Linked DNA regions of Rattus norvegicus. The main gene of each other region encodes a partner of the protein of the gene in region 2 in a complex. Links are inferred from orthologs where the notes say so. Each region holds a gene or a part of one and is shown on either strand. Other genes may lie near its edges.

Region 1 (5,041 bases), on a different chromosome or scaffold from region 2:
ATAAAGCAAAAGAGGAAGGAAAGGGAAACAGATACAAGCCTCTGAGGAGTGGTCATCAGGTAACTTCTTTGAGTCTTTGTGGGGAAAGGAAGACATGCCTAAAAGTTGTCCATTCTCATAAAAATTAGGTGGCTGCAAGCAATATACATTTCCTCTCCAATAATTTAGGAGGCGGAAGTTCTGAAGACAGGCCTTATGTGGGAAAAACAAAGCAAAACAAAACAAAAACCACCAACAACAAAACAAAACATCAACAACAAAACAACAACAACAACAACAAAAACCAAACAAGTTTTGATACATGCATTCTTTCTAGAGGTTCTGGGGTAGGGCCTGTAACCTTCTCATTCCAGGGTCGGGAGCCACCCACACTCCTTGGCTCACCCCCATTTCAGCAATGCATCTGCTCTCACAGTTCCTTCTCAGATTCTGACCCTCTGCCTTCCTGTAATGGGGACCCTCGTGGTTATATTGGTTCTGGCAGATGGTCCAGGATCATCTCTCCATCTCTCCGTCTTTAAACCAACAGAACCTGCAAAGTCTCTTCTGTCATAGAAAGTGTGCTGTAGTTACAGGCTCTGAGCTTCCGAGTGGGCCATCACTCCCCTCACCACTGAAGAAAAACAGGATGTTTGATTCTCCTAGCCCCTCTTTGTGCATAAACAACCTCACCGAGTCTTTCAACAGTCCTGTGGAATAAATACATGGTAGATTTCTTTTCAAGTGGAAGATGCCCGACCATGGTAGAGATTCTGCCCCGTGTCAAAGAGCTGGGATCAAACCTCGGTCCCTGAACCCCAGCCAAAGGATGCTTGCCTGCCTCCCTGCCTTGTCTTCATTCTTCTCTCTATTCGGCTGTACTTCCTCTTTCCTGTTTAAACCTGTTCCCTAGCTCCCTGAACAGCCTTAGCTGCTGTTTCCTAACTCGTCATGTGCTTCTAACAACAATGTGACCATAGCTTGCTCTTGGAGATTGCTTTCCTTGAAAGATGAGTGGTAACCCTTCAGCATCTCCCACAGGACTTTTCTTCTCCCTATTCAGTGGGGATGTTTGGGACCTATTGTTCTAGGTAAACAAAAGTACAGGGAAGACAGACATAAGTAAAATATTACAGGACAATCTAAATGGTACGTGCTATCCGAGACGGATGGATGGGAAAATCATACTGAGCGGGGAGTTCCAAATCTTGGAACTCGGTGCGATTTTCTTTGTCCCTTAGTTAAAAATCTAAACTCCAAGAAAGAACCAAAGGCAATAAATTATCTGTGTTATTAATCTTTGCTTCCCTATACCTTTCAAGTAATTGAGCAACAGTTGGGAACTGGGTGGAAAGAAGCAAGCCGTGCCTGAAACCAACAAGGAGTTAAAGTTTATTGCTTTCATTTTGTAGGTCTCTATTCTCCCTAGCAACTAGTGACACAAGATATTTTTCCCAGTTCTTATTGGAGAATGCGTCCCCGCCCCGCCCTCATTGCTCAGTTACCAAATTTTCTAGTAAACCGGTAGAGTGAGTACAGGTTCTCACAAAAGATTCATCAGGGGCCTGTCACTATCTGAAGTTTAAAAAAAAAAAATGGGAAGAAAAGGACTTCAGTGGGGGTTGATGATGTTCCTGCTACCGTTCCTCACAGTATTTTTGGCGAAGCAAAGCCATACCCGTAAGTATCCCATGTACTCTTTGCTTCCAAGTGCATCGAGGGGTTCGCTTCCTAAACTTGTGGTGCAAGCTATGAAAAAGCCAGGGGCAAATCCACAGGTCCTTTGGACCCAAGATTTGAAGGGTGATGTACCAGTTGGCCTGCTGCCCAGACGTGTGTGCATGGATGCTAGCCTGTCCAGAAAGACTTCCCCCTGAGAGCTGTCTCCCCACTCTTCTGCTATACCCTTACTTTTCCTTCTGTTTCTCCTCTTTTCTAACAATGAGCCTTATACTAGGGACTGTAGTGAGTTTCAGGGGAGTTGAACAGTGCAGTCTGTCCATTCTTCAGGTCCATAGATATTTTTCCCTCCTCAGGACAAGGACTACCTGTAACAAAAGACGCAAGAAAGATAAAGCCACGCCTCCGAGCTTGTTTTCTAGGTGTAGGAAATATTCATTGATTAAAAACAAAAGTTCTGGGACTGGAGAGATGGCTCAGCGGTTAAGAGCTCTGGCTGTTCTTCCAGAGGTCACCCACATGGCAGTTCGCAACTGTCTGCAACTCCAATTCCAGGGGATCCTGCATCCTAACATAGACACACATGCAGTCAAAACACCAAAGTACGTAAAAATAAATAATAATTAAAATAAACAAACATTTTTTAAAAATCCTCCAAGTTCATTGTAGTTTAGGGAGCTTGTGTCTCTAGGGAATCCGGAGCCCTGTGTTGCCACAAACACAGGAGAGTCGGTGTGACACAAAGTACCAGACTTCGCTACTTCTCTAAGCAACTGCTGGCAAGCCGTTAGTGCTTCTAAACGTTAGTGGGTCTCTAGGTTCACAGAAGAATTACAGAACTTAGACCAGGCCGCCCAAGCTGCTGACTAATGCTCATGCCAGGAAGGAACTCTTTCAAATCGTCTGTGTGTTAATCCTACAAGTATTGATTGATAGCTTGCTACGTGCCAGCTGACTGGAGGAATATAACAACTGGATATGGATATGGTGATGCAAACTTACAATCCTAGCTACTCTAAAGGGGGGAGGGGATGGTGAGTTTGAGGCCAGTTTGAGTGGCATGAGAGCCTGCTTCAAAAAAGAAAAAAAGAAAAGAAAAAGAAACAAAGAAACCAACAAACAAAGATGAGGTTAGATGTTTCTTTGGCTTAAGGAGATTGCAGAACCTTCTGGCATAGTGATCAAAAGTGCAACATTTCTGCCTTTAGTCCAGTTGTTTCTGTGATACCTACCACTGGACTTCTGAGTACCCTGTATGTAGATAATTTGTGGGCTGTTATAGAGTGGGGTGCTGCTCTTTGCTGGTTGTTTTCCTCTGACCCCTCAGACGTGTTCCTGCTGTGTTGCTTTGTGTTCCGGAGGCGGATAGCTACAGACCGCATCACCCAGTCCTAGCTTCTGTCCTGGTTCACTTGGTAGGAAATGCTGGGAGAAGAGACAAGAACATGGAGAAAGGAGAGACTGAAGTTTGCTTTTCTTGCCCCCTCCTTCTTTCAAGGAGTCTCTGGCAGTAGCTCTCTGTAGTTCTCTGCAATGTGGGTTGTTTTCCCTTTTCTCTGAAAATCCCTTTTCTTTATAGTTTTAGCTTCCGCTGGGCTTCAGTAATTCTTATTTGCTGTCCGTTTCCCTCTAATCTTAGGGGTGAGCATGGTTTATTATTGTTGCTTCCTTATGGTCTCTCCATGGGACCTCTCTGGTAAAGGCTGTTTCCTCCCATGGTTCTCACTAAATGAACTTTGAGGGCAATGGCAGGGAAGGGATTTCAGATTTACAGAAAATAACTTAAGGTCTACATGATATTTGTGCCCAGTGTTACCCATAAACAGATACTTTTACACCATGGATGGATGGGGGACACAGGGAAGAGAAGCCAGAGCGTTTGAGAGGTAGCTCCAGGAAATGTTAAGATAATTCTCACATTACATCCAGCAGGTTCCTCACAGCAGCAGCAGCAGCAGCGTGGCTCACAGGTGATTGCGTCTGCTCCTTCCTTTGAGTTCCCATAGCTCCTCTTCACGGTTTTCTCAGTTCCTCAAATCTTCCCCTAGCTGCTCTTTTTACAGGTGGGAAGAGACGACTCCATTTTTGTGACCTCGTTTCCAACAGACACTTGATCGCTTCCTAAAAACATGATGTTTCAAAGTAATGTCCCTAAGACATTGAAGTCACCTGATTATGAAGTATAACACACTTGGACAATGACAATGAATTCAAATGTAAAACTGTGTAGTTGCAGAACTGATGTAAAAATTGGTGCTTTGTGCTTTTACCGTCCTTCTCCTTGCTCTTCATTTCAGCTGGTGTGAAAATGAGGTGGTGATATGTGTCTCGGTGATCAATATGGGACACCAGGCATGAGATTTCCCTTGCAAAGCTATATATAGTTCGTGTGTTTCATCTTGATATAATCAAAGTTAGTCTCTTGATGGCATTCATAATTTAATAGAGGAGTTAGCCCACTACATCAATCTACTTCATGAATGATGCTTCAGAGACAAGGACTGATTCCATAATCAGTTGTGTTAGTGTTAGAAGATATCCTTGTAGGCTATCTGCTTAGAAATGACCTTGACCTGGGTAGTGGTGGTGCATGCCTTTAATCCCAGCACTTGGGAGCCAGAGGCAGGTGAATATCTGAGTTTGATGCCAGCCTGGTGTACAGAGTGAGTTCCAGGACATCCAGAGCTGCACAGCGAAACCTTGTCTCAAACAAAACAAAACAAAACAAAACAAAACAAAACAAACAAACAAACAAAAAAACCCAAAGAGGAGGGGGGAGGGAGAGGCAGGAGAAAGCAGGGAAGGGGGAGGGGAAGGGAGATGGGGAGGAAGAGGGAGAGAGAACCTTAAGTTCAAATAGCTGGCATGAGAAAATATGGGCAATTAGATTTCAGTCTGTTTCCAAGGTGCTCCTACCCAGGTTCATGCCAGAGAAATTTCTCCAAGACAATGCTTCACTCCCCTAAGGCCCTCTTCTTCAAAATTGATATTGAATGTATCTAGTTTTGATAGATTTTTTTTAAAAAGATATTATTTATTTTATGTATGTGAGCACACTGTAGCTGTCCTCAGACACACCAGAAGAGGGTATCAGATCCTATTACAGATGGTTGTGAGCCACCATGTGGTTGCTGGGATTTGAACTCAGGACCTCTGGAAGAGCAGTCGGTGCTCTTAACCACTGAGCCATCTATATAGCCCAGATTTTTCTCTTAACTAGGGAGAACAGCTATCTATTCTTGCTTGACCACAATCCTCTTATCCTGGAGGACTGCTAAAAATTGAAGGAAGGAGTTCTAGATCAAAGATCAAATACATAGATAGCTCTTTATATAATGCTTTTATTTTATGAAGCTCAAATTGAGGTAGATTCTAGGAACAT
Region 2 (4,866 bases):
GTGACTTACAGACTTCCTTAAGGCCACCTGGCCTCTGAGCTGTGGACAGACAGCTTCTCCAGTTCCCTTCCCAGGACAGTGGCACTGAATGAGTTCATTTCCTGTCCAATGGGGCCACAAATTAATGGTAGCCACAAGGGCAGTATGCCACGCATGAGAGCCTGAACCCACGGTCTTCATGCTTCTGTCTCTCCGGCGCTGGGACTGCAGATGTGTACAACCACATCCAGCCTTACTAGTCAATTCTTCCCATGAATAGAACACTACTCAGTTCTATATGCACTGGACCCCCTTGTTACTGTGACTAGAGCGCTCCCTGCCTCGATATGCTTCTCAGGTCATTGGTGATTGTGAAGCAGAATGGCCTTGACTTTCAGCTATCAGCTATAACTGCACATGGGAGCATTTGGGGGTGAAATATTGTGGCTCCTACAGCCTAGTCAGTTCAGGGGAGAATATCTATTTTAGTGGAGGCAGAGAGGAACTGTGACCATTGTTAAACTAGGTCAGGAATAAGTCAAGGCTGTGTGGATGCATGTGTTTTATTTGTAGATTTGAATAAACTCAAAAAGGGAGCAGCACTAAGCCATCTATGGCCTAGGACAGAGACCCTGGAAATCTTTTCTGACACAAATGGCAAGGCACATTTAGAAAGGGCCTCAGAGCTGGTGGGTGTGGTAGTGTATGCCTGTACCATCAGTTACCAAGGAGGCATGACAGGACCACAAGTTCCAGGCCTGCCTAAGCACATGGATGAGACCCCTGCCTCACAATAAAACTTCACAATAAAAAAGGAGTTGTAGCTGTAGTTCAGCGGTAGAGCACGTGTTTAGCACAAGGCTCTAGGTTCAATCCTCAGTATGGGACAAAATAATACTAAAGGCTAATGTTTTAGGGGTTTGCAGGGATAGGAGAGGAGCACCCCCATCTTCATCTTCTGTGGACCTGTTTCTCCTTTTCAGAGGTAAAATATCGAACTGGACTCTCCAGATGCCTGTCATCGTGTTCTCTCTCTTGAACCTGGCAGGAGGCACTAAGTGGGAGAGGGATGAGGACTGGGACTCATAGCAAGCGGTACTGAGCACACCTGTCTCCCTGTGCTCTGCTGAAACCGCCTCCCTTTCCCTGGGAGGAGACAGGGTTTGGCTAAATAAGAGTGCAGTGACAACGTGCGTAGTAGACACAGTGTCCTCATGTGTCCTTCCCCACGACAGCACAGTGAGATAAAAGTCATCTCCATTTTGATGGTTGTTAAGTTTTGACCCTTGCTCCAGTAAGGATCTCAGCATGCCCTCTTCCTGACTCGGGATATTTTAGAAAAGATGAAGGTCTATTAGGGGACCTCAGGAGGACCTACGTGATATTTGTTTTTCTTCCTTCTATCCTGTCTCTCAACACAAAACAAAGCAAAATCAAAAAACAAACAAAAAACCAAACCAAAAGACAACTCTTGGAGCTACTGAAATGGCACAGTGGGTAAAGGTGCTTGCTGCCCAGCCTCGTGAACTACTTCAATCCTTGGAACCCACATGGCAGATCCTACAAATTGTCCTCCGATCTCTACCTCCGCACGCGCACACACACACACACACACACACACACACACACACACACACACACACTAATAAAAAAAATCTTCCTAAGAACTCTTCCTTGTGCCAGTGCATTTCGTTTTCTCACCTTTAGTCTTCACTGTGCCCTGGGGGCTCAGGGGTATGTTCAGCGAAGGGTGCCGGACAGCTCCAGCTTCATCATCTCTTAGAGTCTTCATCACTATGGAGACACTGGGCCCCCCTCTAGAAACCTGCATGTTGCTGATGAACCAATCTGCTTTCTCAAAAGTGGCCTCTTGTCTGGCCTGGAGGAAATACTGGGCGATCTCACAGGTCACCGCCTTCCCGCTGCAGTCAGCGTGGAGCAAAGCCTCTGCCTGGGGAATCTGTACCAAGTCCACTGCGGAGAAAGACAGCGCATGGAGGTGATGTTGGATACACAACGCCAGGCAGTGGGGAGGCAGGTGTGGGTAGATAGGACTGGGAGCTGGGTTGTCCCTATGGAGGAAGCCTAGGATGAGGGGCTTTTACCGGACGCCTCAAAGATAATCGGTGAATCTTGTCTGGCCTCTGCGCTCCCTTGGAAATCTGTGAAGCCCTCCAGGGAACCATCATCCAGCACCGGCACCTGCTTCAGTACAAGCAGGGCCTTCTCCCTGTCCTCACTGCTGCCAAAAGCCCCGCGATGCTTGTCTTCTGTCACCAAGAAGCAGTCTAAGACGATGTCCACGGCCTGCCACCGTCTTTCTTCTGTCGGGGGGTCTACAGGGAAAGTGAAACAAGCACCCTCTTCCACACTTGCTTCCTACCCCTTTACCAAACGCAGGCTGATCATCAGGTAAGGTTGCCTTCTGGGTCCCGCCGTCTTGGTGTCATTATCATCTACAAACCGAGCTTCTGGAGAGGCACCTGCTACTCAGACTGCGACTCTGAGTTGTTTCAAGTTCTAGATCTGTCCTGCTCAAAGCCAGAGAGATTTATGATTTTATATTCCTGGACTTCAACTGTGGGAATGCAAGGAAATTTCTTGAAAGAAATTCTCAGGTTTAAAAAAGGGGAGAGAGAAACTGGAGCACTTATTGTTCCTAGGAACACTGACAACCATTTTCTCACTACCCAACCTTCCCAGAGGCCTCTGCTTTCCGCCATGGCCACGCCCACCAGGAGTTACCTCCCAAGTGATTTCTTAGCCTGGGGAGCCCCTTCCTCTTCTAAGGGTTCAACTCAAGGCAGTGAGCTCTCTCCCAGAATGGTAGCACCCTGCCTTTCCACAAAGGAAGCCTCTTTTCTGTGAGTTCTCTGTCATACCCCTCTCCAAATTGGTTCCTCACATTTCGAGTGCCACACTCATTTGCGAGGCTTAGTAGGCAAACTTGCCGTTCTGAGTAGGTGACTTCCTGGGGCTTCTTTAGCTCAGAGCTTCCTCTCCCCTCCCCCAGGCCCCAGCCAGGTCTCCTTACTCACCAGTCCCTGCCGCCCCAGAGACAGCCAAACAGAGCAGCAGACACCAGCTGGGCTCCCAGCCCATGGAGGCTGCTCTCGGGCGATTCCTCGCTGGCTGCCTTCTCCACAGTTCCCCTGCTAGAGATCTCTGGCTGAAGAGGGGGTTCTTTGAGCAGCCTCACTTAGTACCTGTGTTCTCTGTTCTTACTGGTTTCTCTTTCGCTTTCACTTCAACTGCCTCTGTGACCCGAGGCCAGAAACAGCAGTAGCCAGAACTCTGCTCCCGGTACTCCCTTTTGTCCACCCTGCACCCAAGAAATCCCCAGAAGGTTTCAAAAGCTGGTATCACCACATCAGGTTTCCCATCAGCCCCAACTATGAGAAGGCTGGAGAGAGGGTGGAGCCAGAAGATAGATTCCCCTGTGATCTATCTTGGCCCTTCTTTTCAGTTTTTGCGAGATCCTTTTGGTCTGCCCTGGTGACAACTCCCTGCTCAGATCCTTAATCCCATGGAGGAGATGGGGCGTGGCCTGGTTGTGGGATTGGAGGCTGGATGTGAAGCTACAGTGTAAGCCTCCCTTTAATTGTATTCGTGTGTATGTGGTATACACATGTGTGGGGATGAGTGTTCCTGTGTATGTGGTATACACATGTGTGGGGTGAGTGTTCCTGTGTATGTGGTATACACATGTGTGGGGTGAGTGTTCCTGTGTATGTGGTATACACATGTGTGGGGTGAGTGTCCCTGTGTATGTGGTATACACATGTGTGGGGTGAGTGTCCCTGTGTATGTGGTATACACATGTGTGGGGTGAGTGTTCCTGTGTATGTGGTATACACATGTGTGGGGGTGAGTGTTCCTGTGTATGTGGTATACACATGTGTGGGGGTGAGTGTTCGTGTGTATGTGGTATACACATGTGTAGGGGTGAGTGTCCCTGTGTATGTGGTATACACATCTGTAGGGGTGAGTGTTCCTGTGTATGTGGTATACACATGTGTGGGGGTGAGTGTTCCTGTGTATGTGGTATACACATGTGTGGGGATGAGTGTTCCTGTGTATGTGGTATACACATGTGTGGGGTGAGTGTTCGTGTGTATGTGGTATACACATGTGTAGGGGTGAGTGTCCCTGTGTATGTGGTATACACATCTGTAGGGGTGAGTGTTCCTGTGTATGTGGTATACACATGTGTGGGGGTGAGTGTTCGTGTGTATGTGGTATACACATGTGTGGGGTGAGTGTTCGTGTGTATGTGGTATACACATGTGTGGGGTGAGTGTTCCTGTGTATGTGGTATACACATGTGTGGAGATGAGTGTTCCTGTGTATGTGGTATACACATGTGTGGGGTGAGTGTTCCTGTGTATGTGGTATACACATGTGTGGGGGTGAGTGTTCCTGTGTATGTGGTATACACATGTGTGGGGGTGAGTGTTCCTGTGTATGTGGTATACACATGTGTAGGGGTGAGTGTTCCTGTGTATGTGGTATACACATGTGTGGGGGTGAGTGTTCGTGTGTATGTGGTATACACATGTGTAGGGGTGAGTGTTCCTGTGTATGTGGTATACACATGTGTGGGGTGAGTGTTCGTGTGTATGTGGTATACACATGTGTGGGGGTGAGTGTTCGTGTGTATGTGGTATACACATGTGTGGGGATGAGTGTTCCTGTGTATGTGGTATACACATGTGTGGGGTGAGTGTTCATGTGTATGTGGTATACACATGTGTGGGGTGAGTATGCCCAGCCGTGCTCGTGTGTGGAGGAGACTCAGTGAGGGCAATGGTGTCTTGTTCTATTACTCCGCCTTATTCTTCAGAACCTGAACCGCCTTATTCTCTCTGAACCTGGAGTTGTTTGGTG

Evidence for each region.
Region 1: the proteins of Tapbpl (region 2) and Mr1 are in contact, whole or in part, in an NMR structure (PDB 7RNO), measured with the Homo sapiens proteins. The link is inferred for Rattus norvegicus from reciprocal best matches to the Homo sapiens genes TAPBPL and MR1. Residues at the interface, in NP_060479.3 of Homo sapiens: His47, Arg48, Gly49, Ala50, Ala52, Ser53, Ser54, Leu129, Met131, Thr132, Glu133, Thr135, Arg228, Gln230, Lys232, Gly233, Arg234, Gly235, Thr280, Ile282, Gln293, Ile295, Gln297, Arg307, Leu308, Ser309, Ile320, Cys321, Asp322, Leu355; in NP_001372090.1 of Homo sapiens: Arg101, Arg104, His105, Asn107, Thr129, Gly130, Phe131, Leu132, Gln133, Ile143, Phe144, Asn145, Asp147, Thr148, Leu152, Ala153, Val154, His159, Thr160, Lys162, Gln163, Ala164, Ala167, Asn168, Gln169, His170, Thr213, Phe214, Pro215, Asp248.

What each region holds. Positions count from the first base shown.
Region 1 is NC_086031.1:69,864,730-69,869,770, reverse strand, and holds the start of Mr1 (major histocompatibility complex class I-related gene protein precursor), read left to right. Parts: upstream 1-1,604; coding exon 1,605-1,659; intron 1,660-5,041. UniProt on the Homo sapiens protein: Antigen-presenting molecule specialized in displaying microbial pyrimidine-based metabolites to alpha-beta T cell receptors (TCR) on innate-type mucosal-associated invariant T (MAIT) cells.
Region 2 is NC_086022.1:159,711,725-159,716,590, forward strand, and holds the start of Tapbpl (tapasin-related protein precursor), read right to left. Parts: upstream 3,414-4,866; 5' UTR 3,082-3,413; coding exon 3,018-3,081; intron 2,316-3,017; coding exon 2,085-2,315; intron 1,954-2,084; coding exon 1,681-1,953; intron 1-1,680. UniProt on the Homo sapiens protein: Component of the antigen processing and presentation pathway, which binds to MHC class I coupled with beta2-microglobulin/B2M. Association between TAPBPR and MHC class I occurs in the absence of a functional peptide-loading complex (PLC).